Kluyveromyces lactis: one gene and its partners. The protein of the gene in region 2 purifies or fractionates together with the protein of the main gene of each other region. This does not show direct contact. Links are inferred from orthologs where the notes say so. Each region holds a gene or a part of one and is shown on either strand. Other genes may lie near its edges.

Region 1 (8,872 bases), on a different chromosome or scaffold from region 2:
GGAAAGGGACTTGGTTCGTCCCAATTACCTTATTTCAATCAAGCCAGTGAGTATACTCCTTTGAAGAATAAAAGAGTGAGCAGGAAAAGATCTGATTTCTACGGTGATTTTTCTCCCCACAACTTTTACACCAAGAAGGGTTCATGGTCTAAGTTTAAAAATTTCGTTTACTTCTCTTTCATCGTGGCCTCCCTATTGACTCTTGGATTCATTTCTGGATTCCTACTGGCAACCAACAAAGAATTACACGATTTCCAATTGTTGGCCATGGATAACGTTCTAGTTTCGTTGGATGAATTAGTATTCGATATCACAGCGACTGCGTTTAATCCAAGTCTCTTCACTATTGGTATAAAAGACGTGGAACTAGATATATTTGCTAAGACTAAGCACGTTGACGTTAGTTCAAATGAAGACAAGTTATATTCAACTCCATACCAAACCATACTACTCGGGACAGTATACAATCTCGAAAGTGAACTACAATTTAGAGGAAGATTGATCAACAGAAATTATGATGTTTCTGTTGCCAGTGTTAAATTGCTCAATCCTGGTGCACCTAAAAATAATGGTGATGATGAAGACGGGGATAATGACGATGACGACGATGATAATGGTAACAAAAAGAAAATGGGCCACGATAACCAAGATGAAAAGGGCAATCACAAACTAGAGAATGATATTGACCGTTGGAAAGAATTGATCAAATATGAATTCGAATTGATCGTCAGAGGAAACATGTATTACAGTATCCCATTCTTTAACAACCAGAAAGTACTCCCAGTACAACAGCAAATTTCTGTAGATCCAGACAACTCACCTTTCAGAAAAAAGCATGGAAATAACCATGCGCAATAGAATATAAAGGCCATTTTTTAGTCTGCCAGAAGCTTGTTTAAGTCAGACACCAAGATAACTCATCGGAAAACTTCAACCTTGGCCTTACTTAGTTTTTACAATGTCTTGTAGTATGCCACAGCAACTAATTTGCTTGTAATTATATATAATGATAACAATAAGATATACTTAAAGTACCACAAACTGTATTTTTCATGGCCGAGTTATAAGCCTTAAGTGACCCCAGCAACATCTGCATCAAGAATGTTATTTATTTACTTCTTTTTTTAGGACCTACCTGTGTCCCCAAGAAAAAGTAAAAAAAGCAGAAATGTTGAAATACTAAGCACAAGAAGTAAACTTGAAACAAGGTACCGAAACAGAGCTAAAAGTTCATTTGTCTGTTTTTATCGTCAAATAAATCAACTGCTGTAGGTCCACAAGTTATCATTGTTATTGGCATAGATTTAAACCTTCGAATTGCACGCCGGTGGGTTTTCCTCGACTTACCACACACACATTCAAGGCGGCAGAGGGGATATTTTGAACATATTAACGGGGAACGATTGTGAGATCTTAGCTACTACATTAGAGGATATTTGAGAAAAGCTTGTACAGCAATTTATTGAAATTATTGAATATTGTGTTACTTCAAAGATATAGGAAAACTAAAGCTGGTACTTGATTATTTCCCTAGACGCTGGTAACCCATAAGAAAACCGTTCTTATCTCATCTTGAATTCCTGGCCAAAGAAATTCGGTAAGAAACTTATTTGGTTATAATTATATTAAACATTTGATCATACTTGCAAGTCCTTTTCAATACCCAACACCGAGCGATATGGAGGCACCGCAGAGAATAAGTACAAGGTCACATCATTCGATGCAAAATAAAAATTCAAAGAACCTTTGTCTTCGAATAGGTGATTCCCCAACGAAAAACAAACTAATAATGGTGGATTCAAAACCAAATGAAAGCAATGATACTTTCGCAGTGCCATTGCGCCACCAGCTTACTAAACGTGTAAGTGAAGCACAGATATACACTTTACCGCCACAGCTTAAATCTGCCAGATCCACACCCTCTACACCACAATTACCGTCTGGCAGTTCGGGCTTTGATTCAGCCGCTTCACCCTCATCGTCTACGTCTTCCTCGCCTTTCAATAAACCAACACTTCCAACAATCAACACCAAATTTCACAATAGGCCGAGGGCCACGACAATTGCGACAAGTGTACCTCAGATACAGACGCCCAGTAATGATTCAATGGAAAGCACGACACGGTATTGGGTTCTTCAAGAAAATACGCCCATGTCCTCTACAAATTATGATAATGATATGAAGAGCATCCCATACAATACCCATTCTGATGAAGACTCACCGAGCTATTCAGAATCATACAGAGAGAAATATTATCCCAGTGGACCGTTACTTGTCGTCCCTCCTTTCATATATTTGTATTCTGAACCATCATTAAAAGAAGTAATGGATTACGACGTAATAATAAACGTTGCAAAGGAGATTACCAACTACAAGGAACAACTGCCTCTATCCAAGCAAGGTTGCTATTATCATTTTACTTGGTCTCATACCTCACAAATTACTAAAAACCTACCACAACTAACAGAACTAATACAGAATGCCTATGCCAGCAAAAAAAAGGTGCTAATCCACTGTCAATGTGGAGTATCAAGATCAGCTTCCTTGATAGTAGCTTACATGATGAGATACGACAAATTAAGCTTGAATGAAGCATATAATAAATTGAAGTCTGTCGCCAGAGAAATAAGTCCAAATATGAGTTTGTTATTCCAACTAATGGAATGGGAAGATTGGCTTAACAATTGTGACTCAATCAATGATAACTGTCGGAAACAGTCATTCGAGTCCATCTCGGAATTCGGTGAACTCTCTCTGTGAGATTGTATGATATAAAACGCAATTTTAGGGATACCCATACAAAGTATATAGTAGCCTAAACACTACTCTGTAATAATACGCCGCGGATCTTCTGTTTGGGCAAACTATCAAAACGTACCAAGTGATAATTCTGTTCTTAAAAACATTAAACTTTTGAAGGTTTCTAAGTTATGATATAAGGTAAATAAAGCTGGTGACAAGGGAGAATAATGCAAAGAAACCATTAGATAATACTGTCCTCCCACTTATTATACTTCGGACTTTACGTTACTCGAAGGATTCATTCAGAAGAGTGCGAATTATGGAAAATCAGAGGCCATTCATAACTTTCAAACCTTTCTGAAAAAACCGAGTAATAACCATGAGCGAACCTGTCAAAAAAAGAAGCTTGGGCAGTTATCTATCTCGTCTCGAAGAGAGAAGAGAAGAACGAGAAAGATCAGAGCAACAGCAGCGAGAAAGTCCTAAGCCAGTGGGTGAAAATGGGAATTATTCTGTTACCAATGTTCCAGTAAAGGAGGAAGAGGTATCTCAAAAGGTAACTTCAACTGATCAGAACAGTACAAAACAACCATCAGACGAACCCTATGTCGTTAGCCAAGCAAACAGCTCTGACCAGAAAGTTGGATCTCCTTTGAATAATCAAGAGTCAATACCGGTGAGACAAGCGGAAACGAAAGGACCTATTAATGAAATAAAACAGGAAACGGATGTAGAAGAAAAGAAAAATCTACCGAAAGTAGGGAGAAATAAGCATTCTGACGAAGAATATAGTAGTGCACTCAGTGAAGTTGAAAGTGACGCACCGACAGAGCCTGCATCGCCACCAAGACCAAAAATGGGGAGACTAATACGAGGTGATCAACTTGAAAGCGGAAACAACAGTCGACAATCAAGTGCTCCAGTATTGACAAATGATGGGGAATCCGATTCTGATCTTTCCGATTTAGATGAGGCTCGTACAGCTAAAATATCAAGCAGTGCGATTCACGAAGATTCCTCTCCGGTGAAACATTATAATGAACACAAGCGCAAATCCTCTAGTATAGAAAACTCCTCCAATCACAAGAAGCAAAAACATTCTGCCGGGAAAAAGATACCGAAGACTAAGCGTGGAGTACATAGGGATGCCGGAGGCAGGACAAAACTACAAATTGCTTGTGATAAAGGCAAATATGATTTGGCAAAAAAACTTATTGAAGAAGACGGCTATGACGTTAACGACCAAGACAACGCTGGAAATACGCCACTACACGAAGCAGCTCTAAATGGTCATTCAGCAATTGTCGAGTTGCTCGTAAGAAATGGAGCTAATGTTAATATTCAATCATATGATATGTTTCTAGATACGCCTCTTATTGATGCTTCCGCGAATGGCCACATAAATGTTGTAAAATATCTTCTAGATCACGGAGCAGATCCAACAATGGTAAATGCCAAAGGTCTAAGTGCAATTGAATCTATTGAGGAGGAATCAGACATGGATAATGATGATAGAAGAATAGTGCACGATATGAAAGATATGTTAAAGAGAGCAACGAGGAAATATATAAAACATTCCCATCGCACCTTACAGTCTAGTTCCATGTCAAGACATTCAGATGATATAGACAAACAACTCAACCATGATGACGACTTTTATTGGACTGATATCAGTTCAAAATTGGGTAAAAACAAGCTTTTGAAAGCTTCCAAAGAGGGGAAATTAGCATACGTCGGTTCGTACCTTGAAAACGGTGGTAGACCTGATTTCAGATGTTTCCTTGAGAGTTGCATATATGGTCATGATGACGTAGTAAGTTTATTTTTAGCCTTTGGCGCACAAGTTAATATGAGTAACAAAGAAGGTCAAACTCCGTTGATGCTATCTGTCGGGCGTGGACATGTCAACGTCGTGAAACTTTTACTCGAAGCCGGGGCGGATCCACAGAAAACTGACAAACGAAAGAAAACTGCCTTGCATTATGCTAACCACAGCTCTCTTGGTCTAACGGATCCTGATGAAGTGAATTTACTCAAAGCAGCGGTGAGGGCAAAATATGGATACGAAGTTTCAAACAACAGCGATGAAGAGGGGGAGGAAGATTCTGAAGGGAAATCTCCTTCACCTAGAGAAATATCGTCAATTCCATCCACCAAAGGAGAAGAGCAAGATCGTTCTTTGGAAATTCGTAAAGATGATAGTCCTTATCATTCAGAACCACAATCTAAAATCGGAAATATCAATGAGGAAAAGCCAAAATTATTACCTGATTCTCAAACGACAGCAGAAACTGCTTCCCTAGTCAGGCCAAGTCTAGAGAGACTAGACTCAACAAAATCAACATCTTCAACATCATTAACTCATCGTTATAAAAGTGCATCTCCTACACATCAACTATCCACTCCGCCTATTCTTCCGAAAGAAAGCGAAGAAGAGAGAGCCGCAAGGTTGAAGAGCGAAGAAGAGTACAGGCAAAAGAGACTGCAACAGAAGAAAAGGAAAGAACAGGAATTCTTAAACAGATTAGCTGAAGATGAACGGAAGAGAGTAGAAGAGAAGGAGAAATTGAAGCAACAGGAGGAACAGAGGCTAGAACAGGCCAAGAAAGAGGAACTATTAAAAGAAGAAGAACTTCGAAACAGAAACGAAGTAGAAAAAAGATTAAAGATCAGAGAGCGTTATCCAATTGGATTGAGAGTCATTGATTTCAAAGATCTTGAGAATTACGATAAATTTGGGCCTGTGTACTACTTCACTGAAGATGGATCAAAATGGGTGCTAGATCTTCAAATAAGTGTCATTATCAAATCCAGCACCGAAGAGTTAAAGAAACAATCATCAGAATTTAAAGAAGTGGAAAAGGGTCAGTACCCACAACTATGGAATCTTTTCAAATTCATCTTCTTATATGGCGGCAGCGATAATGCAAACAACTCGAAGTCCTTGCCCTGGAGGCAATTGTCGGAAATTGACCAAACAGAGTATGTAAAATTCTATGAACTCCCACTAACATGGATTAAACTATCGCGATTGAACCTGCAAGATTTAAACCCAAAGATGAATGACTGGATTGAAAAAAATATGATAGAATTTATCCCGGCATCTACATCTGCCTTGTACAGAACAAGAAAGGTCCTTTTACGTGATAGCAAAAGACCTGGCCAAAACGAAAATAATGCTAACACACGCTTTGTCCCTGCCAAATATCAATCACGCTCCAAAATGTTACCATGGTTGAATGCCTCCAAAGCGCTTTGGTAGGGTCATTATACATAGCATAAGAAGCTTAACACTGTAACAATACATAAGAAAAGATAGAAGAAGAACGTCTTCCTCGGAAAATAGAAGTCACGTGGATTTTATATACACGTGACTCGGACCTTTGCAGATGATTTTCCACGCCCTTCATTCATCACTTCCCCAACCCGTACTATGCGACTGTCTTTCCGGGAACATGATTGGCCAGAGTCTGATTTAGTAACGTTAAATCCGAAAAAAAGTTCCATCTCGTATGAAATGACCTAAAACACACCATCATATCATAAACCTTCGATTCTCCTTCGAGATAAACAATAGAGTAGAAAAAAAAACTGTTACCAGCCATTTTTCTTCGAAGCGTTTTCTTGTTAGCGTTTTTTTTTTCGGCCCACTTCCGTTGGTGCTATTCACCTTTTATAATGGAGAAACATGAAAAAAAAAGCTGTAAATTTTTCATATAATTTAAATAAAAGATAAAATATAAAGCTGATTTTAGCTAGTTTCACAGATTTGAACATTGTTTTGGTATAGTTTCTCTAATTTATTCCAAGGGTTTTCTTGTTTGATATTAGTATTCACAACTAGCGGCCAAAGATTTTATAAAGAGTATGTGCACCGTAAGACGTAACATAATCAGGGGATTGCGAATGGGAATTTTCAATAAGGAACAAATGCGAACTGGAGTTTCCGGAGATAATGGATAAAATCATAAGAAGAACGATTTAAGAGATGTTCTAATTATCATCCCGATGAATAAGGTGGTATAGTCATACCTGATCAGGTTTAAAGTTTTAAATGGATTGGTTGTTTTTTAGTGGATTTGGTTCCTATAAGGGTTTTTATCCATTATCTGTATTTGGTCATGGAGAAAGAAATGGCATTTTGAGAATTCAACATAATAATGATTGTAACTCAGCTGTAAAAGAAGGGATCATGTTTTTCAAGACCAGAATTGATATTTAAACTCTTACTTATTCCACTTGCAATTATCGTCTGATTTTTTTCAGTACAAAGAATCTTATTTTTACTAACAACGATTAAACTGGAAAATGATGGGAAAAATATGTTTTTTCCTTATTGAATCATTTTCAATGTTATTATTACCAACAGTGTTGCGTTCCTCCGTTTCTAGAGTTGCCCGTGTCACTCCTGTCAGATTTGCTCAAACACAAGCCCTATCTAAGGCATCTATCGTCGATTTACCAAACAGATGGGAAGACTTGCCAGCTACTGAACAACAAGATATTGTCCTAAAGCTAGCTGAACGTCAAAAGCTACCATGGACTGAGTTGACTAATGTTGAAAAGCAAGCTGCTTGGTACATTTCTTACGGTGCTTGGGGTCCAAGAAGACCAGTGCACGGTAAGGGTGATGCTGCTTTCATTGCCAAGGGTGTTGCTGCTGGTTTGATTGCCTCTTTGCTAATCTTCGCTGGTATAAGACAACTATCTGGTGATCCACCAAAGACTATGACCAAGGAATGGCAATTAAAGTCTGATGAATATTTGAAGTCCAAGAATGCTAACCCATGGGGTGGTTACTCTCAAGTTCAATCCAAATAATTGTGATTTCTTCTACAGTATAGAATGCATTTTCTCCCTCTCTTCTATTCAGTTTATTTCTATTCTCTACAAACAACAAGAACAAAAAAAAGACACACAGTCGATACTCACCTTCATGATATAGGAGAAGTTCAAACTCTTTCTATTTCCAACTTTTTGAATGGGTTGCGGGTTTTTTTGCGTTTTGTTGAAATTGCAAAACAAGAGCTTTCTTCGGAAGCCTAAACTTGTCCTTTCGCCGTGATTTTGAGAACCACCACACGTTAGAGAATCGAATTTATTTAATATTATTTTATTAACGAAGAATAACATATCCTTCTATCACCATTAAATTAATTCACAATTAAGAATAAAAATCATACCAAACATTTGAATTTGAACCCTATGAAATAGGACTTCTTAGTATCAACATCAAGTTTTAAAAAAATTGAATCCAAAAATTTACACAAACAATATCCAAAGCCAAAAATTAATGATTTATAAACGGACACTTATTTAAATTTGAGAATCATTTCACGTATTCTCTTTACGTTTCATTTATTTTATCGAAATCAATTAAATACATTATTCTATCATTCTGAATTCGAGAATTCTTTTCTTATCCAGGAAAGATTCATTAACATTCTCACTTCGAACTATCAATCCAACAGAAAACCCTTAGCTATTTAAATTTGACTAGAGAAAGGCTGTTTCAAAGTTATAAGCATTTCAACGCACGGTATGTAACAGGCCGTTTATTCTACTAGCATCTGGCTCAAAGCTTGAGAAGGACGATCGCTGACAGGATCACAAACAGGAAACGAAAAGAAAAAATTGAAAATGAAAAATTCAATACAGAAAGCGCATCTCATCTCAACGCATATATTTGGCCAATAGAGGAAATTACTTACAGAGGAAGACACATGTCCTCATAACCCCGATAATAATGTCCTTTGCATTTGGCTTCTCTAACGAAGATTTCAGTGATGATGAACTAGATATTGCCAATCAAAATACAGATGATAAGCCATCTACTTCTGTCCCTCGAATCAATCCATTGGATTCCGAAGTGTTACTAGGAGAATCAGTGAATCAACCCAAATATATTGATCTGGATGATCTACTACGTTCACTCGCGAATGTCCGTCTATCTTTTGAAGAAGTGCAAACTCCAACAACAAACTCTGTTCTTTACAGACGTGAACTATTTGACGTTAAACATCAATTGATGTCAGAAGTGGATTCAGGCACAAATAATGTTGAATTGGAGATTTTGATGGGTGAAACCAATGAAGATTTGAGGAGAAATGTGTACGAAGGTGGTTTGAA
Region 2 (7,182 bases):
ACACATGAGGAGGTCTAACATCAGACGGTAATGGTGGAGCAGCTGCAGCTGCAGGTCTAGCGAATACCTTTAAGGCTTTACCTCTATCAACTTTTTTATCACTTGGATTAGCTTTTTCATACCTCACGACATTGTTTTCAACACTTCTTCTAGCTCTCTCAAAGATTGGACACATATCTTGACACGTACCTTGGAAAATGATTGCTTCAGTAAGATCTTTCGCCTGATCTGCTTTGTCAACGAGTCCTTTCTCTTCCATTACTTCTCTTTCTTCGTCTCTCATCTTCTTCAATGTTTCCCAGAGTGTAGTCACATCAGATATGTTGTCTTCCAGTTGAAGCATGCGTTCCTGGTTTTTTTTATCCCATTCGTCTTGAACTATCGGTACAGGTTTCAAGATGGGTGCCTGTCTTATGAGATATCTCGGTAGTTCTCTCTCGGCTGGTTTTGTCGGCTGTTGAAACCCAAGTATCGCTGGATTTCCATCAAAAAGTGTGCCAATGATTTCATTTTGATCCTGACTCAAAGTTGGTACCATTTTCTTTATTAGCTTCCCCTTAGAGCCATTGTTGGATGTAGTCTTGCTAGATTTACCATTAGGCCTCTTAAATTTGCGTTTCTCCGCATGATTACTAGATGATCTAGAGCTATCATGCATACTAAAGGGTGCAGCAGACGGTGGTATGGAGGAACCCCCAAACATTGACCCTAACATGGCTACAATGCACGGCCTACTGGTGCAGGAGTTGTTTTCAACTCAACATCTATATAATGGTTAATAGTTTACTTGGGTTATGATTCTTTGTATTTCATTATATCTTCAAATGCTAAAAATTAATGCTACGGCAGTATGTTCAGAAGAACTGCATTAAGGTATCTATAGAGAGAGAAGCCCTCCTAGTGTATATGAACTAGGGCAAATTTACGTGTAAGAGTATGAAACGTGACTTGTTAAGTTCTTTTTCATCGACGGCGTGCACTATGAATTGTCTCTCTATGATAGCCTCTTCGAGGAACATTTCAAGTACATCTTGAGTTCTAAGTTGAATTCCGATCAATGCCGATACCGTTACACGTTGTTCGGTATACCAGACGAATAACGACTCAAGAGTGGTTAAAAATGGTACAATTAAGTATTCGTTGTATATTACATCCATTGCGATTATAGTCAGATGGAAGTTCGGTCCGCATTGAAGAACGGGATCGTTTCTAGATTTCTTGCTACCTGAGAACAGTTCCCAATCTAACAGCGCTATGTCAATCTGACATTCCAACTCAGTACGTCTCTTAAGATCATCTAAAGCAATTGTGTTGGATTTAAGCAGTCTCCGTCTACACTCTGACTGGTTTTCTTGGATGTTATCTTTTAATCGAGGCAAGATGTCCTTTTGATCAGTGGCCACATATTTATCAACGTAATTAGAGAAAACAATAGGAAACATTGGTGATGTTCCAGTGCCCAGTTCAAGGACATATCGTAGTTTATCATCTTGCTGACATTGAAAAATGGATGTAATATCTACCTCATCCTTTACACCCCCTCTTGTGAATATGGTAGCGTTGTCATTGTATAATAACCATTTGAGAATAAAAGTAGACGTGGTCCAAATGACGTATCCAGTCGTCGAGTTATTATTATCACGGTTGGAATTTAAAGAGGTTAGGTTTTGGTGTATACTAAATGTATACTCATCTCTTTCTGGTGCTTTTTTTTTCCTGGTCACTAGGCGATGTGGCCCAATGTCTATCTCTAATTCTGATTCGTTTCTCGACAGAATACCGAGATCTTGAGATAAATCGTTTGCGTTAGCCTCTAATTCCACATATCGTTCGAAAATGTACTCATATAAAGTCTCTTCATCGAGCAGTACTAATTCCATGATAAACAGATCGTCATCTTAGTAAGCTCTGCGCTGAAATGGATTAGTGCCCATTGTAGGTATTCTGTAACGAAATATGAATTATGAATTACATTTTATCTGGTTATACATGATTACGTGAAAGAAACAAAAATATTCGGAGCACTAGAAACTGCCTTTCAAATTTGCTTCAGGAAGAATTATCATTTTGCGTTTAGATGATGTTCTTGGCTAATAGAATTTCGGCAATCAAGATACCTGCACCTGCAGCACCGATAACGGTGTTGTGGGACAATACAACCATTTTGAAGTCCAATACAGGATCTTCTCTGACTCTACCAACAGATACACCGTAACCATTGTCTCTTGTTCTGTCCAATCTTGGTTGTGGTCTATCATTTTGTTCCAAGACATGGATGGTTTGTTTTGGCGCAGAATGGCATCCCAACTTAGCAGCATCACAGACATAGTCTCTTAGACATTGTTTTACTTCTTCGACAGATGGAGCTGGCTGGTTCTTGAACTTCAAAGAGATACATTCAGTGTGACCGTCAGAGACAGCAACACGGTTACATTGAGCAGAAACCTTGATTTCGTCATCGCTCAATAGGTTAATTTGAGATTTATCTTGACTCAAAGCACCCAAGATCTTCTTGGTCTCCCATTCGATCTTGTCTTCTTCGCCGCCAATGTAAGGGATGATGTTATCTAAGATATCGATACTTGGGACACCTGGAGAGAAACCAGCCCCGGAAATGGCTTGTAAAGTGGTAGTGGTCAATAGAGAAATAGGACCGAATTTTTCAACTAATGGTTTCAATGGGGCCACTAAACCAGCAGTAGAACAGTTTGAGATACAAATAATAAAACCAGGTCTTGGCTTACCTTCTTGCTTGGCCTTTACCAAGTTCGCGTTAACCAAATCCAAATGTTCTGGGTTGGTGATTGGAACGATTAATGGCACATCTTCTTCTCTTCTGTAGTTCTTAGCATTAGAAATAACAGCTAACCCATGTTCCTTGAATTCCTTCTCAATTGGACCAGCATAGTCAGCATCCAAACCAGAGAACACAACATCACAGTCCTTGAAGGCATCAGCGGTACATTCAGAAACAATGATGGACTTAGCAAATTCTGGTAACAAATCGGTTTGTTTCCAGTTCACAGCATCGACATACTTCTTACCTGCAGATCTGGAAGAAGCACCCAAAACCTTCAATTCAAAATCTGGATGGTCAGCTAACAACAAGATAAATCTTTGCCCAACGGAACCAGTAGCTCCTAAGACACCAGCGACTTTCTTACCCATAGTTATAGTATATTATAAGTAGTGATTCTTTCTTAATCTTCCTAAGCAAGATTCAGATCCTCTTTATCGCTTTAGAATAAATACGATCAAGAAAATGAGATAAGTATATTAGAAGCAAAGTAGAGCAACGATGAATGCTACAAGTGTGTACAAATATATACCTGGTAGTAAGGAATCGGATGTTAATGTTGATATTCTTTTCAACTGATGTCATATCACTTTGACGAAAAATTCCAACTGACTCACACTCTCTCTGTGTGAAAGAAACCGCAGGTGAGCCCATTGGAAAAGAAAAAGTTGTGTATTTGAAGTCACGTGGTATGTTGCAATTAGGGTGAGCTCCAAGCTTATGCATTGATTATAACGGTCACTGTATGTAACTTAGCGTATGTATGTATATATATATATATATATATATATATAATGAATGAATACCCTCCCGATTCGTGGGTAGTGCAAATCAGCCGTCTATTCAGAGTCTGATGACGATTCCGAGGATGAGGATGTTTGTTTGCTGTCACTGGAGGTTTGTGAAGATTCCGGCACATCAGCAAACTTGATCTTTTTCCCTCCAGTAGCAGATTTAGCCACCGTATCTTCTTCTGTATTACCAGTAGAACTTGTGCTGGAGGGTTCCATCTCCATTACTTGAGGTGGTAGACCTTTGAAATCTCTTTCGACTCTTTTCAGCTGCGCAAGAGCACTGGAAAGCTGTGTATCTAGAGCCATTTCATCGGCACTAATGCCACCAGAAGTTACTGCTCCCTGGGTTGTAGAAGCTCCGCTTGACGCTAGTGTCACGCCTGGTACTGATTCCTTTTCGGCAATGAAACTTGCTAGGAATTGTAGTACTTCGTCTTTAGATAGGTATGTTGGCGTGCCCACCGTATGTACCACAACGGGCGTGTTCAAAGTGGAGTTTGCTGGTCTTCTAGTTCCCCTTAGCATGGTATACGTGGTTGTTCGTTGGAGTGCGATGAATCAAATCAGCATCTATATATTTACCCAACCTTTGGCTATCTCATCTCATCTCATCTCATCTCATCGCATTATTTCGATTCAGGTTTTGTCTCTCGAAGAATTTTTCAGCTGAGGCACGGGTAACTCAGGCATGTTTCTCCGTGCCTTGCGATGTTAACAAAATATGCAAGTCACGTGTGTCACGTGACTTGCGGCGACAATGCGGTTGATGTGTAAGATAATGGGGTTTCCGTTTTCGTTACCCGGCCGCATGTCATCACCTAATACCATTTTGCGAAGCCAACGCCACCCTTTGTTAGCAACTACCAACCACTTTCTCAATTGAACTCTGATTCAACTTCAATCCAATTCCAATTCAAGTCCAGTTCTTGCTCTTCTGTTCTGGTTTGCAAAATCTTGGTTACAACACACCAAGTATCAACTACTAAACTAAACTAAGAATGTCTAAGGTATTTTTCGACGTGGAAGCTGACGGTCAACCATTGGGTAGAATTGTTTTCCAATTGTACAACGATGTTGTTCCAAAGACTACTGAAAACTTCAGAGCTCTAGCTACTGGTGAAAAGGGTTTCGGTTACGCCGGCTCTGTTTTCCACCGTGTTATCCCAGACTTCATGTTGCAAGGTGGTGACTTCACTCACGGTACTGGTGTCGGTGGTAAGTCTATCTACGGTGCTAAGTTCCCAGACGAAAACTTCGTCAAGAAGCACGAAAAGCCAGGTTTGTTGTCCATGGCCAATGCTGGTCCAAACACCAACGGCTCTCAATTCTTCATCACCACTGTTCCATGCCCATGGTTGGATGGTAAGCACGTCGTGTTCGGTGAAGTCGCTGATGGTTTCGATGTCGTCAAGAAGGTCGAATCCCTGGGTTCCGGTTCCGGTGCTACCAAGGCCAGAATTGTTATCGCTAAGTCTGGTGAATTGTAAGGAAATAAGCTAGGGAATTGACTCTTTTTTTCATTTTAATCCTTTTTTCTTCCCTTTATCACACTTCAATCGCTCGGGATATCTATATATATACTTATGTCTATAACAACCCATTGACTAATTGAGTGTATTTGATCTCACTCAATTGGTAATGGAAGACACTCAAATACATATATACAACACCCTTTTATATCAATGGAAGTTTATGACTAGATCATCATCTCTCCTCTTTGGCCATTAACAAATGTAGCTACCCAATGAAAATGGTTACCCGGGCCTGTTCCCTTTTCTCACCTGAAATTTCCCAATTTAGCTGCCCTCTGCAATCAGCGCAACCTTTACAAGACTTTTCAACATAAAATAATGATCATGATTAATGATCAGTGAGGATACGTTCGTCATTTCAGTGCGGTAACCCGTTGTATCTGCAGTGGTACGCTATTGATCACGCTGGACAGGCTATATCTTATCAGTAAGGATGGATTCTATTTCTAAAAAGTTGGGTAATTTGGGTCTGCATGATTTCAGAAATGCTGCAAGATTTGCACAGAACGTTATAGTTCAGTATGAACCATACCAGATCGATATTAGACGTGCTACGAATACCGATTCCTGGGGTCCAACTCCAAAACATTTGGCTAAAGTGATGAGACATCGTTATGAGGTTTCAATGTTTTTGATGACTGAATATACTTTGAAAAGATTAGTCGATCATATGGCTAAAAGACCTAAGAACATGTACGAAAAGGCCAGAAAGCAGTACGTGAATTACGGTAACGAATGGAGAGTTGTGTTGAAATGTTTGGTCTTGTTAGAGTATTTATTGATGAGGTCAGATAGGGGCAAAGAGACTGATCAAGTGCTATCCTGTTTACAAGCACATAAACATATCTTAACCAAGGAAACGATGCAGTATCGTGTTGATTTCAGTAGTGATGGGAAGATGGAATTACATGAGCGTGGTATCAAGAAGAAATGTGAACATATCATCCAGTTGATAGAGGATACTTCTTACTTGAAACGCGAGCGTTCCAAGACCGCGGAAAATACACAAAAAATCGTTGCCGGATCTGCCGGATCTCGCTCAGAATCTCTGTATAACGATATTTCCATCAATGCAGACTCTTTCGCCGGATCGTCTTCTACCATTGATGACTCGGACGACTTCGAATATGAACCTACTCCAACGGCTCACAGAGATCGTAGATCGTCTGCTGTGGACGAACAGAGAAGACAGAGAAGAGAGCTATTACGAGAAAGAATCCGTAACAGTGAACATCAAAGAAAAGTCTCCGCGCAGGAACCAGAAATCGATCTATTGGACTTCGATGATGCACCAGCTCCTGCTTCTCCTTCAATCAACAATAGCAATAATGCTAACGTATTCGAGAGCTTCGGTGTTGATGGTGAAGATGATGACGATGATGAATTTGGTGATTTTCAAAGTGAGAAAAGTCCAGTTCCACCTGCATCTGGTAACTTTAACAGTTTTGGTAACGATAATAATAATAATAATAATAATAATAAAACCTCTAATAATAATGCTACATTGAATGATCTTCTAGATTTCGGTGGATCTAGCAGCACCACGACGCCAGCCGCGACCAACAATAACAACGCCAGCACGAAATCCGATGCTTTTGCTGATCTATTCTCTATGTCCAAAAACCAAATATGAAACTCCCAAGTATATCAACATAACAATTCGAATCAAGAGGCTCCCTCGATTGAATAGCATTAACTATCACATGGCTAGTGGGACTTGTCATATTTTATATTCTTACAACTAGAACTCACAACCCCTACTATTATTATTATCATAATTTTCTTATCTATATACTGTAAATATATGAAAAAAATTACCTGACCTTGCACCGTGAGACTTTTACCTTCATTAATGAGAAGGTGTATTAACTATGCTTAGTCTAAGGTTTAAAGTGATGCCATATTATGAAATCAATCATTAGAAGTGTTATAAAAATATGGAGAATTTAAACTGCTATGGCTTTTACACCTTCTGAGATCAAAGATTCATTCTCCTCATCCAAATCCTCATCGCCAGCAAGTCCTTGTTCGAAGATCTGTCTACCAGAAAGTCTCCCCT
Region 3 (6,797 bases), on a different chromosome or scaffold from region 2:
CAAATGATCCACAAGGTTCGTGAATGAAGTCTTAGTTGAATACAGTGACAATACAGAAAATCTTTTGTTAGAGGAAGAGAAATGTTTTGACCTCCTTGTAAATTGTGGAACTTTGACTTCTGAGAGCTTTCTGGGTTCAACTTCGTCATCTCTGAGAGTTGCAACTGCTTTAGCATTCTTGGGTAACTTTTGAACCTCGTACTTTGCAGTCTGTTCAGAGTACTTTCTCAATTGTTCTTGTCTCTCTTTAGATACTAAATCCTTTTGGGCTTTCTCTAATTCAACGTTCAAGTTAAATTGCGATCCAAGGAATTTGGAGCGTCTAATGGTTTCCAGAATAGTCTTTTCCTTTGACGCTTGGTCATCTTCTAGGTTAGCTGACAGTCTACTTTCAGCAGCTATGATACCAGGGTCAAGTCTGGAAACTGGTCTCGTTTGTAGAGAGAAGTTTCTTGTATTGATTAGTTCATTGATGTCATTCTTTATACCGAATGTACTATCTCTTTTGTTTGCAGTTCTATCGGTCTCTATCGGAGCAGAGACAGATCTTCCATTGGCTGTGTTTCTTTCATCCGAGCTCCCCTGAACAGCTTCATATTCCGCCTTGAGCTTAGCAATTTCGTCTTCCATTTGGTCTTGCAATTCCTTCTGTCTTTCAGCTCGCTTTCGTTCTTCTCTTTCAAGTCTTTCTTGCTCCTCCCGCTCGATCCTTTCCCGTTCCTTTCTTTCAGCTTCCTCCTTCTCACGAGCTTCGTTGACTTTTCTTTCCAACTCTTCCTTCTCTTTCCGTATTTGTTCGTATTTCTCATGCTCGAAAATCTGATCCATCAATGTAGCAAAGTCCTGACTTGTCCTTTTCGTTTCCTTTTCGATGTATTCCCATTCACTGTCTTCGGAAAGTTTTGCATACGTTGCAATCAGTTTCGTTGTTATAGATCCACGCTTCATATTAGGCAGTAGAGAGAATCTTTTGGATTGTCTCTTTGATTGTCTTTTGTAGTCACGAAGCATTTCTTTAGGGACGGGTGGAGCTGCACTATCGTTTATCCTGGAAACTCTTTTATGAGCAGCAGGGGTTGGAGAAGACGAATTGGAGACTAGCTGTGAAATTCTCTTGTTTGAAGGGAAAGTCTTACTCAAACGTTTACCTATTGAGCCGTTTTTCACTGGTGAGCTATGTTGGCTACTCAGTTTTTGCATTGATACAGGTCTTTTGTGAGAAGATGAGGCAACTATGATTGATGTTCTTTTCTTCTTTGGAGTGGTGACTGGGGAATCAGATTTATTAGGAGATGGTAAAGATCCAACGTACATCAGCGAATTCGAAGAGACAGATTGTTTCTTTTGTAATTCTTGTTGCTTCAATTGATCTTGGTAATTATCGTGTTTAAATCTATGCAGTAAAGCGTAAAAAGTCTTTTCTAAATTAGCACCAGGTTCCATCAACTTCGTAATAATGTCTTCCTTATTTCTACCATGCCATAGAACAACCAAATTCTGCAAAATAGTTTCATCTACGCATTGATTTCCTCCTTCTAATGATAGTGGATTCAAATAGGTATCTTCTCGAGGTAAGTTTCTAATGGATTTAGAGTCCTTAATGCTTGGGTATTTTCTTAGAAGTGGATGCTTTAGGATCTCTCTTGTCTTGATTCTTTGTTCTGGATCTACTGTTAAGATTCTGGCGATTAAATCTTGGGCTTCCGATGATATTTCATCATCTCCAGGCATTTCAAATTTCCCACTTTGAACCTTTAACAAGAGATTTCTGATATTGCCATCTTCTTCATCAAATGGCAACCTACCGGTCAGTAAAGCGTAAAGAATAACACCACATGACCAAACATCGGATTCAAAACCGTGATATGGCAAGCCCGAGACAATTTCGGGTGCCGCGTAATGAGGCGAACCACAACTAGTTTCCAGTAATTTATCTTTTGATTCTAGTGCTGCCATACCGAAATCGGCTAGTTTGACATTGAATTTATGGTCTAATAAAAGATTTTCAGGCTTCAAATCACGATGAACTATACCTAACGCATGGCAGTAAGAAATACCGATAATTATCTGTCTGAAAAATCTGACTGCCTCATTCTCAGGTAATGGGCCCCTTTCCACCAACAAGTTGAATAACTCACCTTTTTCAACGTACTCTAAAACCATATATAAATCTTTTGAAGTTTCCCAAACATCGTATAATCTCAAGACATTAGGATGATTCAACAACTTCATAATGATAATTTCACGTTCAATACCATAGGGTAAGACATCAGGATCGTTACCACCAATCATTGTCGACCCTTGAGCGTTGAATATTGATTTTGATATAATTTTCACAGCGGCTTGTTGTCCTTTAGTTTCATTATAGGCCATTACGACTTTACCTGTTGAGCCAACACCCAGTGTCGAGCCCAACTTCCACGGGCCAATTGTGTCACCCTTTAACGTCGTTATTCCGTTACCGTTCATTTCTGATATATTGTGATAGTATTGGCCAAGCTACAAGTTATAATGTTCCCCAGTCGCGTAAAGGTTTGAATGATAATTTCTTATGAGAATGAATGTGGTGTAATATATCGTTTTTATCAGAGTGAGATTCGCTTGCCTAGATAAATAACTCTCTATGTCTGATATCTGGTACCGTCTAGTGAATTCAATTGGTCGTGGTTGAAGATGGTTGAAGTGAATTGAAATTATTTTTTTCACGATAACTTTTATGGTTTAATCTACTTCCAGTTTTATGTGATGAGCCTTGTCTCAATTTCTCAGTATTTCCCTCAGGTACAATTTTCACCAAAGAAAAACACAATTAAACTTCACGTCTTGGTATATATGTATGCCAAATAACAATGGAAGAAAAAACCTACCAAATTCAAAACGAGTGTGGCAGAAAACTATTAACAAGACAGCTAATATTTCTTCCACTTCTGGTAAATTATTCTTTCTAAAATCATTTACTGTAACAGTTATACTAATTGAAAAGAATGTTCACCATACTAGGAAGGAAAATGACTTGAAAAAAAAAAGACCTAAAAACGCGAAACTTGAAGCAAACCTAGCTTTTCGAATCGAAATAGGAATACAAGGGTGGTAATTTGCAGGAGGTCTGTTATAAGCCCTGCCATTTGATACCCAATCTCTTTTTTCTTTCCATTCGGATTTCATTTCTAATTCCATACCGACTGTTTTCCCTGGGGAAATGCAGATAAGCTTGCGGGCACTTTTCTTGTTGTTCATCCAAAGTAGTTTTAATATTCCAGATACATAGTCAGTTATTATAACATTAGATAGGTTACATTGAAAGATAAAAAAGGATGGGAATGCTGTAGTTGATCCCACTTACTGCTGCAAAGTACACTCCCAATTACAAACTACCACCAATTTGCTCTCTGTGAGCTTCAATGATATCGTTATCTTCCATGTCCAAATCTTCAGGGGTCTGATCTGGTAACACACGCACACCGTCGTAAAGGAATCTTAGGGATTCAATCTCTTTACCTTGTCTCTTAGCAAATGCCTCCATTAATCTTTTTAATGGAGTGGTCTTTTTGATCTTGAAGAAGATCTCACTGGATCCATCCGAAACCTTCAAGTTAATATGTGTTTCTGGCTTAACATCCACCTTTTGTTCTTGTTCTTCTGACATTTCAAACTGTGGTTATATATATAGGCGTTGAAGAATGGAGAAACAGGATTCAATGAATGTTTAAAGACTCGCTTTTTCTTCTTCTAACTCTCGGCAGTATAGATTGAGCTTTTGTTTGTTAAGGTAATTTGTATTGTTGAACTAATTCCTGGCCAAAAAAAAAAAATACTGTAGTCCTGAAATTCGACTGTCAACTGACATGGAAAAGAGCTCTAACAAAAAGCAGTTTCCTTCTTCCTTTTGAGAGCATGAAAATGAGAAGTTAGGGGAGGGAAGGGTAACGACCCACAGGCACGTGATCTTTCACTCCTGCCCATTTTGTTTTGCTGTACTTGGCAAAAGGATTAATCGTAACCCGGCCATGGCCGGGTTACACTTAGCCGGAAGCCGGAAGTTTCCTTTTGCCAAGTACAGCAAAAAGATAAGACGCGTGCTACAGCGCGCAAATGCCCTGTAAATATAAATCACGAGGGCACTTTCCTTTCAGTTTTTTGGATAGAGCTTCAGTCCGTGTTGCATTGGATTTTTGTCGCCGAACGCTATCACCACCGCTCATTCGTTTGTTCCGATAAAGCTATAACTGTCTGGGCTATATTGGAACCTTAAACCCGTTCTCTCAAGTGCCATTAAACTAAAAGCACCGAGATTATTACCCTATCTTTCTTATAAAAAAAGAAATAGAACCTCCGTAGACCGTTTCTCTTAGCCCAATTTGGGTTTTCCACCTCGTTCCTTTTTATTTTAGTTTCAGTTTTCTATTTTGTCGCCCTTGCAGGTGATGGCTACATCCTCTACTGGAAGCTCCATCGAGAAATGGAAACTGCAGGACCATATTCTTTCATTGCTGCGGTATTAACTGGGTGAAGCTGATCATTTGAAAAAGAAATAGGAAGGTGTATGGGTTGTTCCAGGAATATTTAAGGCTCTTCTCTGGACAGCCCTTAGAATCCCGCGCCAGGGATTGTTCGAAAGTGGCGTATTGAATCTTTTTGTATGCAGTTTGCGGTCTTTTCTTTTGGTTCATGGCACAATCTTATTTTCTTTACTTTTTTTCATTCGCAGTAACGTTAAGAAGTGTGTCACAAGATGACGAGATGAGACGATGTAGCCATTGAGCGATCCAAGACTGGAGGTACTTTAGAAGCTGTTAGATGCGTAGCTTAGCCTCAGCCAAAGAGATGGCAATCGTATTCTGATTGCCTTTTCCCTCAGTTCCTTCCCCCACCTGCCCATGGTTAGTAAATTGGATGATTTGGTCCTGATAACTCAGAAATCACTCTAGTTAGTAGTTGGTAAGTAATATACTGATCGATTTAAGAATGAGATGATGTATTATAATGTTCCTAGTGATTATCTGGGACGCAATACATGACACCGAAAAGTAATGTTGGAGTCTTGGAATGTTTTCGGTGTGTGTTGATTTTCTTTTCAGCGATTTTATAATATAAATATATATATATATAAAAGTATATGTAGAGTGGTCGATTTCATTTTGCTATGTGGTTGTCACATATTCTCTGCAACCGTGGTCGTCCTTATTCTTTAAGAGTTCATATCTTCAAGAAGTATATGCTAGACTGCGTCAAATCTTACCATGACTGGTGCTACTGGATCTTCTAATTCAGACTTTATAAGTCCTGTTGGCAGTGACGTTAAACATAATGATAAATCAGATACTATAATACAATCAGAAGGGTTCCCAAGTATTGAAGGTGAAGCTGAATACTATGAGAAAACGTTCTCTCAATCGGACGAGGAGTACGCTGCAAAATCAAGTGTTTGGCATAGGTTTAAGGATTCCTTCAAGAGAGCCGATCATATTAATACGAATATACATGGAAATGCGGAATTGGAATTGAATCCATCACAGAGTCTCTTACCTGAGAAGGGTGCTAGCTTAAAGCGAGATATTAAACCAAGGCATGTTGTTATGATGTCTTTAGCTACAGGTATCGGTACTGGTCTACTTGTTGGTAACGGTAAGGCATTGGCTACCGGTGGACCGGCTGGTTTGACCATTGGTTATGCTATTATGGGTTCTTGCTTGTACAGTATTATTCAAGCTGCTGGTGAACTAGCAGTTGCATACCCAACTTTAACTGGTAATTTCAATAACTATCCTTCCTTTTTGGTGGACCCTGCTATGTGTTTCGCTACCGCTGCCCTTTACTGTATTCAATGGTTATGTGTGTTCCCATTAGAAGTGATTTCTGCGGCCATTACCATCAAATATTGGAATACCAGCATAAATCCTAATGTTTGGTGTGTTATATTTTACGTTATGATCATCGGAATTAACATGTGTGGTTCCGCTGGTTATGCTGAAGCCGATTTCTTTTTCAACACTTGTAAAATTTTAATGTTTGCAGGTTTCTTCATCTTGGGTATCATCATCAACTGTGGTGGTGCAGGTGACTCAGTTTATATCGGTGGTAAATATTGGAACGACCCTGGTGCCTTCAACGGTGACACTGGTATTAGTAGATTCAAGGCTATTGTTTCTACTTTGGTTACTGCTGCATTTGCTTTTGGTGCATCAGAAGCCGTTGCTTTAACTGCCAGTGAACAAGCTAACCCAAGAAAAGCTATTCCAAGTGCTGCTAAGCAAGTGTTGTACAGAATTATTGCCATCTACTTGGCTAGTATCATTCTAGTTGGGTTTTTAGTTCCTTATAACTCCCCTGAATTGATGGGTTCAGGTAGTTCTTCTGTCCATTCTTCTCCTTATGTGATTGCTGTTGCATCGCATGGTGTCAAAGTTGTCCCATCATTCATCAATGCAGTCATCTTAATCTCAGTGTTATCTGTAGGTAACTTTTCTTTCTACTCAAGTTCCCGTATTCTTCTATGTTTATCCGAAATCGGTTATGCTCCAAAGTTTTTCCAATACGTTGATAGACAAGGTAGACCACTATATGCCATGATTGTGGGTGCTCTTGTTGGTTGTATTTGCTTTGTTAGTGCTTCATCCGCAGAAGAAAGTGTCTTTACATGGTTGATGGCCGTTTCCGGTTTGTCCCAATTGTTCACATGGACTAACATTTGTATTTCTCATGTCAGATTCAGAAAAGCCATGCAAGTTCAAAATAGATCCATAGGTGAATTAGGTTTCAGGTCCCAAGTTGGTGTATGGGGTTCTTACTATGGTATC
Region 4 (9,096 bases), on a different chromosome or scaffold from region 2:
TATTTGCAAAGAGTTAGTGTGAGAGGCAGCCTTCAATATCGTGGCATTGTTTGGCTTTAATTGTTGCAGGATCTTCTCAGTATCTCTATCATTCGTTGCCGGTTTGAACACGGTTGGGAATATTGCCTTACTAATATCTGTGTATAGGGTACTGATGTCATCTTGAGACGTCAATATAGTGAATAATGGAGAATCCCACCTTGTTTGAGGGTTTGGTTCTTCATACCTTTGAATAAGAGCATTCAAAAAATTGCTTTCCCAAGGTTTATGCAAATCAGTCTCTTTCTCATTCCATTCAACCAAGTTGCTCATTGGGCATACCGTGTGGATCAAACAATACGTTGTCATCACGTTTTTCACTTCACAGTGCAATTGATACCGGAATCCTTTTATGTAATTCAACGAATCAACAATGACGACTTTCTGACGAGAAAGATCTCTCTTCACCACAGACATAATCTTAGATCTTGCCCTTCTTTCTTCATTTGACCCAATATAATCATCGTGAGATATGTTTAAGGTTTCATCTGAATGGTATACAACAGAATAGTTTGACAGTTTATCGTTGGAATCGATAGTTTCCTGTAGTAACGTGACGAGTTTCTTGGCCACAGTTGTTTTACCGCTACTCGGAAAACCAGTTAGTAAAACCAAGGGCATTGCTGTACAGTCAAGAGGTTCTAAGTTCACTAGACGTTGCTGCAAAGTCTGAAACAATGATTGAGTTTTTCCTCTTTTCATGAGCTCATCGAGTATTTTCAAAGTTCTTGTTCTGAACGCAGTAAAAAGTAATTCTCATGTTGAAAGAAGCTTTAATGATCACCTATCATGATTCACCAAAAGAAAGTTGACAAACTACTGATTACTTCTTTGTCATAAACATTAACGACAACTCCATTAACTGTAATAGTTGTTCACAAACTTACTGTATTGGAAGATATGAACGTTTCGGTAAAATGTGTCAAATACTCAGGTAGACGGCTGCAGTCTACATTTGTACCAAGAATGGTATTCCCAGATTTCAATATACCAACAAGTGACTTCAAAGGACATCAAAAGAAAGCTATACAAAGAGCTCAAAATCTCCTTCCTCAGCTTAATCTTCTAGTTGAACTTCGAGACAGCCGGGCTCCAATAGCCACTAGGAACCTCATATTCGATTACTTGTCCTTAGAAAAGAAAGTTGACAGACTAGTAGTTTACACCAAAACTGATCAATGCGATCCTGCTATTATTGCATCATTAAATAAATGGCATAAGGAAATGGACGAACAATATATCATGATAGATGGAAGAAGCAAAAAGGGCGCTAAAGATCTCTTACATATATTAAAATGGAAGTATGATAAGTTTCTCCAGAAAAATGATCCGGGGAAGAAGACTGTGGGACTACCACTGGGTTATAGAATGCTAATTGGCGGCATGCCTAATGTTGGGAAATCAACACTCGTTAATAGTTTAAGATTTACTGGATATGCAGGCTTGGATCATTCGGATGGAAGCAAACCCAAGAAGGTTGCGAAGACAGGTGATCAGGCAGGTGTCACCAGGAACACTAGTGAATGTATCAGAATCAGTGATTATAAAGGAGGGTTGTTTCTATATGATACGCCTGGAATATCTTTACCTGCCAAAGCAATGAGCAAGCAAAGAATGCTATCACTCAGTTTATGTGGGTGCGTTAAAAACAATCTAGTGGACCCTGTGATTCAAGCAGATTTTCTGTTGTATCTTTTGAACCTACAGGGAAAATATCAATTCTACACACACTACACTACAACCCCTACTAACAACATTGACATTTTGTTGAGTGGCCTCAAAAAGCAAGTAGGAATGACAAACGAGAATGCTGCAGCCATCTATTGGACAGATTCTTGGAGACAAGGTAGAGTTTTAAAATCTGGGTTAAGATCTGGTTCTAAGAAGTCCTCTAAAGCTACTCCAGCTCTATTCGAGTTGGAACCCATTTTGGAAAACTTTCAATACAAGAAAACTATGCAAGAAGAACTTGAAATTCTCAAAGGTTGGGATGTTTTATCCCAACCCTTACTCAACAAAAGAGAAAAGCATTTATCTAAGGCAAATACGCTTTTCTGAGAGAATACCTAAGAAGTAGTCAGTTCTTGGTTAATTATAAACAATGTAAATAAATAATAGAAAAGTATAGACTAGTTTTCCAACATATATCGATAAAGCAAATCGAACCCACCGTCCAAATTCCTAAATAACTCGCAAAAAAAAGTTCATTTTATGAGAAGGAGGCTAAATTGTTAAGTACACTCTCCCCGTTTATTACCACCGCTGACTACCTATAGGTACATCCCGAACTGAAAAAAAAGTTTGCGTGCTAATGAAGGTTTCGATACCAAGGAAGTCATCCGTTAAGCAGGTTTGATTTTTTTCTTATAATCAGCAAACGATAATTTCTTTTTCATCTGAGCTTGGTGGATAGTAGACGAAGGGCCGGGAACGCTGTCTATTCCACGCTTCAACGAATTTTTAATGCTATTAGAATCGGAAGTGACACTAGTTTGTCCTTGGTTTGATATAGTTTCGGTTATATTTGTTATGGTGGTGTCAGTTGGAGGGTTATCTTCAGTACTTATTGTCTGTATGGGAATAGGAAGATCGGCTGGGTGTTTAATCTGTGATTCATCGAACTTAGAAGGATCTGAAATGAATGAAAGACTTTCTTTAAGGGGGTCAACCCTGTTTTTGGACTCCGTCACTGAAACCCTGTATTTGTTCCCTCTGATACTCCCAGCGTTCGTATGGAAAGACTTCTTCTGTACAGTGTCAGAGACCGGTTCTAACATCTTTAGCTTAACGGCATTGAATTTAAGTAGAAATTCATTGGCCCTTGCTGCGTCTGAGATTGTGGCATGCGCTAATTTACTGAGAATAGATGACTGTTTTTTGGTTTGCAATTTGTTTCCGTGTAATATTTCGTTAAGCTTGTATCGATTATTCATTTTTGATTTGACTGATCTATAGAGTGATTGAGAATGGCGTTTGATTTTCAGCAAGTAACAATCTTTACTATTACTTCCACAGGCACAATCACAACTTCCTAGAATGGTGTCTATGGAATGTATGAAAAGATACCTTTGTGGCTCTTCAATGGAATCTATGCTCTCATTATGATTTATTAACTTCCATATTGGATGTCTCAGGTCCCAGTCCCATTTGATGTGAAGTTCTTCACCTTTATCAATGAATCTTAGAGCTCTAAGAACGAACTTTATCTCATCCTGGTTATTGGAATTAGTCAATTTGATTGTGACTAGTTCAACATTGGGATTGCATGATCGTCTCAAGTATCTCGTTAAATTTCCACTTAACCTGGCATCAATATAAATCGGCCAGTGGGGATGAATAATGACTTTAGGTTTTGCAGTTCCCCAGACTCTATAGTTATTTCTTGGATCTTCTAAGTATTTCCTTTGGAAATCAATCTCTCCTAAGAATTCATCGATGTAGTCTCCTTCATCACATCCTTGCTTCAAGTATACAGCTAACTTGGGGTATCCAGGGAACAATCTTGAGTGATTACTGTCAGAATATGGTTTAATTTCAATCGGAATAGGTTTGAACGTTAATTTATGATAAGGTATAACCCAGTCGTCATCAGCGTGGTCTTTTACGAAAAGTTCAACGTATTTATCTTTGTAATCATTTGAAGTCAAAGGGAGATACACTGTAGGATAAGCTTCTTTAGCATTTATTAAAACAATGTTCGTAAGAGGATCTGCGGATGGAATGGCCTCTGGTTCTATACGATGGTCCGTCGCTTCAGAAGTACCTGGATTCCGTGAGTCTTTCGTACCAGACGTGGCCTCTTTTGTCTTCACCTCTTTTATGTTGCCATTTGCCGTGCGTCTACGCTTCTTATTCTGAGCATTTCTGATCCTTTCTTGTTGTTTCTTCTTTGCTAGCTTTACATCTACAAACCTAGAATTGCAGATGTTGCACAGAAAGTCATCTGGGGCATCTTTTTCATGTTCAATTCCATAGCATATAGCATGTTGCCAACGGAAACAATGGTCGCATTGTATAGTAAATCCATCATCATCTTCATAGCCACAGATGCACGTTATTATACCAGCATCTGGATCAACAACATAAGATTCGGGAACCGAAGAAAACCTATCCGTTTCAGATTTTTCAAGTTTTTGTTCCTCTACAGCTTCTTTGAAACTATCTTCTTGTTCCACCACTTTATCTTCGCTCTTTGCTTGCTTTGAAGGAGATTTTTCCTCGGCACCTGATCTAGGCATTGGCACGCTGTTGTTCGCAGCAGGTTTTCTATCGTTTTCTGCTTTTCGTTTAAGAGGTAGTGGCATCGTAGCTGCTTGTGCTAACGCAGCAGCCGCAACCATACCCTTCTTATTCCCGCTTTTCTTTGTCTTTTCGCTATTTGAGTTGCTGCGATGAATACCATTGTCAACGGGACTGCCTTTTAGATGATCATCGTCATCATCATCTTTGATAAGTGCCACAGATGCAGGGCCCGGTGATGTCATGGGATTCATATGCATACTTATATCACCAGCGCTCCCACTGTGACTACCAGCTTGACTTCCGACCTGACTTGCAGTTCCAGCGGAAGGAGTTGGTGTCATTTTGTGTGTATGTATATCGGCTTTTAACTCGTCTTTACCCTCATCGCTCGAGTTGACGTTTGAATTCGATGTTTTAGAGAACATCAACAAAGTGGAGGCATCGTCTATTAACGACTGGTCCTGAGCATGTTCTATAGTACCATCCGTCATCGTTTACTGTATATTTCCTTCTTGTATTGCGGTATTTGATTTGAATATTTGAAATTGAATGAAAAGTCGGTACCTTAATATTAATAAAGATGTCCTAACTTGCCCAGCTTGATATACTTATATACCCTTCTTTATCTTAAAAGGGATCCCTGTTTTCAGGGCCTAGTATGCTTGTTGTCCGAGCTATCGAAGTATAGAAAGCACAGCTAAAACAGTCTATACGTTCTGAATCAAACCCAACAGGAAAAATTAAACGGCCCTTTCTGATCCTCGTACAGCTGTTCTATCAAGTTTGCCAACGGTTACTTCGTGAAAGAGATATGTGCGAGTACCTTATTGACGAGAGCTAATTAGACACTCAATATGTCTGGGCTGGTCGTTTCGTTTCGTTCCTTATTAACATGTTTATTCATCCTTCGTTTGTCAATTTTTAGAAAGATAGTTAATGTTGTTGATTTTCAAAATTTTGTCGTTAAACGGTGAAAAATGTCGTACCTTGAATAATGAAGAGCCGATGAGTTGTAAACAATAAACAAGGTGCAAAAGCACGGTTAGTAGCAGTACCGTTTTCGTTTAACGCAAAGCTGTGGGTGAACATATCGCTGAACGCAAGATTGTGTTACTACTACATGTACCAAGCTGTAGATACTTTTTCTTTTTCTTTATTACTTATATTTAAATACCGGTTTACTGCCAACAGATCCACAATTGCCATGCAATATATTACTCTGTTGCTGCATAATATCAATTGCCGGAAAGGTTACAGTCTTGGGGTGCCGTAACTTTCTTGGTACCATTCTATTTCTTGTAATGCTTTCTTTTCGGGTTCTACTCTCCATTCGATTTCCGTACCGTTCCAATCACTTTCCCTGTACCTCCACTTGTGTGCCAGTATTGGTGCTAATCTTCCTTCTATTTTCTGCTGTACGTAGCTTCCGATGTTAGGAAGAAACTTGTAAGCATGTCCCGAGTCTCCACAACATACATACACGTTTTTCAGGTCGGGGATCATGTCTATAATGAAGTCAGAATTTGATGTGTCACTGATCCAGCATATCTTACAATCAATGATATCCCTTAACTTTGACTTTCTTTTGGTATCGAAGACTAGATCCGGTAGATATTTACCTAGTACTGTTCTTATACGCACGACTGCCTCTATTGGTACACTGGGTGCCGCATCGGGCTGTAGGGCCCGATAGACCGCTCTTGATTTGTTGCTCATATCATCATATGCAGACATCGCACTAGTGCAAATCTTCAATATCCTGGTGTGCTTATCTGGAGGGAACAGATATCCTAAGCTACTGTTGAAGACCACTGGAATATCCTTTAACTTTTGATATTCTTTGTCCGTCAGTTGAATATGGCCTACATATAACCCAGTAGCCCTGATCTGACCATACATAGGCAGAAGTGATACAGTATTAGCACCACATGCAACAATAATTTTGTGTCCAAGGAATTTTCTGCCAGATTCACATTGAACAGTGCCCGCTGACACACTCACGGCTCCATCATTTTCATGAAATACGACGCCTAATGATTCAGCATAATTTTTCATGGTCACTAGTGAATCCCTAGCCAAACCAATACCACAGTCTGGATTGTAACGAATCTCATCGTAGCGTTGACTATGAGAAAACTGAGGGAACTTACCACCACAAGTTAACTCTTTATGTAGTTCCACAGTTTTACACTTATTAAACTTTGTTTGTAGAAGTTGTAAACTGTCATTATCGAAAGCATATCTGCTTGTATTCTTATCTTGAATTGCACTCAATCTACCACAATGAGAGTAACAATCATGCAGCATTCCTCGAGGCAAAAATTTGTCACTTTCACCGTGCCAGTATCCCATTGCTTCCACTGCTAGTGCAGCGTAGACTTCATCGTTGTACTCTAGTCTAACAATTTTATTATAATCACAGGACGCACTTAACTGCGATGGAATTTGAAACTTATCAACCACCACAACTTTATATTTGGAACGAGCCAATTGCACAGCAGTACTTAATCCAAATATACCCGCGCCAACAATGACAACATCATAATTGGACATTTCCGGTTCGCTGCCTGTCTAATGTGAGGAAAGCTGTATAGTTGAATATATTATCTATGTTCTTTCTTAACCGAAGTTCTTCTTTATAAAGACTTTGAAGTACAATGTAAAGTTGATGGCTCGAAAGATTTTGAATCATCGGACCTCGGAGCTGATAGGAACAGTTTACCAAGAAAAAAAAAAAAAACTTGAGATAGTAAACAAAGACAGTAAGGATAATAGTGTACATAAGAGGTAAATCAAGTAGAAGTACCATGTTATAGAGTGAAAGAGTTGTCGGCATTTCTGTCCTGTATCCAACAAGTTATAAAGGAAATAATAGAAGCAAGTTATGTTAAAACTTATGAGCTAGCAGGTACAAAAGGTGAATATGTGTGTGTGTGTGTGTGGATATTATAAACGGTATAAATGAATGGGAAGAGGACCAGGTAAAGCGTTGTTGAAAGAAATTTCAACGAGTAGAACTGAAAGAGAGGAACAGCCTGCTGTTCTTTGTTCTACGATCAGAAACTTAATCCATCTTGGAATGTATGATTGTGGGAGTTAGAGGTTTGAATCAGGTTTTGAGATGCATGTTCCGATGGATCTAAAAGACAATCTAAAACTCTTTGCTGTACTGCCCTCTCCAGCAGATTTCTTGGGATCTGTTCTTGTAGATCAAGTGAATCGTCTATTGCCATTTGATCTGATAGTGTAGGACCCGCTGGTCCATTCGAATGCATGTAATTACCTTTGTTTTTGTTAAGTGGTAATTTCTTAGCCATCATATCCTGATAATAGTTTAGAAGACTATCTGCATCATCTTCGTCTTCTCCTTGATTGGAGATCTTCATCTTATCAACGGCAACTTCATTGTTTTCATCTTTGTCGGTCGCTCTAATTTCATGTTCCAAGTTCTCATCAGTATCAAATTCGTCCAACACCTGAATCCTATAATTCTCATGGTCCATGTCAATCGAATCATGTTCATCGTCATCGTCATCAACATCCAGAGTTGGTGGGTTCATCTGATTTGTGGTGTCTTGATAAAGCTCTATTTTGTCATTTAATTCCTTAGAAATTTGATCAGATCCTGTCATAGTCTCCATGCTATCATCCAGCTCAATAGTGAATACCTCATTATCATTGTTGGCATGTCCTATGAGATTTATATCAGGAATACTGTTACCATTAGCGTTTGTAGAGCTATCTAGCCTCTCGTTGTGAGCATTTACCTGTTGTTCCTGCTGTTTTTTTTCTACAATTCCTTGATTCTTCTGGCTATTTGTATTCGTGTTAACACTAGTAAGGATTTTCTCATCATTGTTTGTATTTGGATTGATGTTAACGTGGTTTTTCTGCGTGGAAAATTTGAACCATGAGGCAACTCCTCCTCTTCGCGGTTGCTGTTGGCTTTTATCTGTTACACAATTCATTTGATTGTTCTTTTGAACCTTTGGTAACTTCTGTGGAGAGTTAAAACTAGGAACAATGCCCAATTCCGGGTTATGTGGTAGTCCAGAAAGAATACGACTCCATTGGTTTGATATTGATGGATTTGCTGCAAGTTTATTTGCCAAAGCTGTATTATCCTTATTTTTGGATGCGGTTCCGTTATTTGTCTTTGCCAAAGATGCTTCTCTCATCACGTATTCCTTGAAGTATGGCAATGCACATATTTCGTTTGCAGTAGCCCTTTCACTTGGATTCCACTTTAGGCAAGATGTAACCACATCATATAGATCTTCCAATTGTGGGTTTGGTAGAACATCCCTTATCGTTTTCCCTTCTACGTATGGGAATTCATAGTTCAAAGCTTGGTATAATGGTTTTGAATCCAGCCATGAACCCCCAAAGTGCTCCTTTCCATTGATAGAATGATCTGGGGAGCCCAATAAATCTAGAATCCTCCATATTTGATCGGTTTCGTCAGAACCGGGAAATAGTGGTGAAAAGGTGGCTAGTTCGACAACAACACAACCATACGCCCAAATATCCAACGGTTTGGAATAGTATCCTTTTCTAAGAAGAATTTCTGGTGACCTATACCAACGGGTCGACACATAGGTGGTATAAGGTGATCTGTTATTCACATGTCTTGCCAAACCGTAATCAGCCAATTTCACCACGTAATTATCCGAATAATTATCATCTTCCAACCATTTCTTGCTGAAGTACCTATGAGATGGCGATATCAAGATATTCTCCGGTTTGATATCTCTATGGAAAAAATCGTGATCATGAATATGTTTAATTCCTGCTAATATTTGGAATAATATCGAC

What was found.
Region 1: the proteins of CPR1 (region 2) and HOS4 purify together in Saccharomyces cerevisiae (affinity purification with mass spectrometry; 4 studies listed by BioGRID). This does not show direct contact. The link is inferred for Kluyveromyces lactis from reciprocal best matches to the Saccharomyces cerevisiae genes CPR1 and HOS4.
Region 3: the proteins of CPR1 (region 2) and SMT3 purify together in Saccharomyces cerevisiae (affinity purification with mass spectrometry; 3 studies listed by BioGRID, with this or other methods). This does not show direct contact. The link is inferred for Kluyveromyces lactis from reciprocal best matches to the Saccharomyces cerevisiae genes CPR1 and SMT3.
Region 4: the proteins of CPR1 (region 2) and KLLA0_F02882g purify together in Saccharomyces cerevisiae (affinity purification with western blotting; 4 studies listed by BioGRID, with this or other methods). This does not show direct contact. The link is inferred for Kluyveromyces lactis from reciprocal best matches to the Saccharomyces cerevisiae genes CPR1 and SET3.

Annotation. Positions count from the first base shown.
Region 1 is NC_006042.1:339,648-348,519, forward strand, and holds HOS4 (Hos4p), read left to right. Parts: upstream 1-3,122; coding exon 3,123-6,005; downstream 6,006-8,872. Other genes in the region: VAC7 (Vac7p), read left to right, coding at 1-858; KLLA0_F03597g (dual specificity protein phosphatase family protein), read left to right, coding at 1,679-2,761; KLLA0_F03641g (cytochrome c oxidase subunit IV family protein), read left to right, coding at 6,608-6,608, 7,113-7,564; HPM1 (protein-histidine N-methyltransferase), read left to right, coding at 8,490-8,872. UniProt on the Saccharomyces cerevisiae protein: Unknown. Component of the Set3C complex, which is required to repress early/middle sporulation genes during meiosis.
Region 2 is NC_006040.1:1,413,081-1,420,262, reverse strand, and holds CPR1 (peptidylprolyl isomerase CPR1), read left to right. Parts: upstream 1-4,589; coding exon 4,590-5,078; downstream 5,079-7,182. Other genes in the region: SAC3 (Sac3p), read right to left, coding at 1-715; RKM5 (S-adenosylmethionine-dependent methyltransferase), read right to left, coding at 912-1,880; HOM2 (aspartate-semialdehyde dehydrogenase), read right to left, coding at 2,074-3,168; DNA-directed RNA polymerase I subunit RPA14, read right to left, coding at 3,637-4,116; ENT5 (Ent5p), read left to right, coding at 5,557-6,756; GIR2 (Gir2p), read right to left, coding at 7,070-7,182. UniProt on the Saccharomyces cerevisiae protein: PPIases accelerate the folding of proteins. It catalyzes the cis-trans isomerization of proline imidic peptide bonds in oligopeptides. Involved in histone deacetylase complexes, suggesting a function in chromatin.
Region 3 is NC_006039.1:123,791-130,587, reverse strand, and holds SMT3 (SUMO family protein SMT3), read right to left. Parts: upstream 3,647-6,797; coding exon 3,365-3,646; downstream 1-3,364. Other genes in the region: KLLA0_C01650g (uncharacterized protein), read right to left, coding at 1-2,469; KLLA0_C01606g (amino acid transporter AGP1), read left to right, coding at 5,241-6,797. UniProt on the Saccharomyces cerevisiae protein: Not known; suppressor of MIF2 mutations.
Region 4 is NC_006042.1:264,838-273,933, reverse strand, and holds KLLA0_F02882g (uncharacterized protein), read right to left. Parts: upstream 4,773-9,096; coding exon 2,382-4,772; downstream 1-2,381. Other genes in the region: KTI12 (Kti12p), read right to left, coding at 1-741; putative GTPase MTG1, read left to right, coding at 940-2,097; KLLA0_F02860g (NAD(P)/FAD-dependent oxidoreductase), read right to left, coding at 5,533-6,834; protein kinase IME2, read right to left, coding at 7,338-9,096.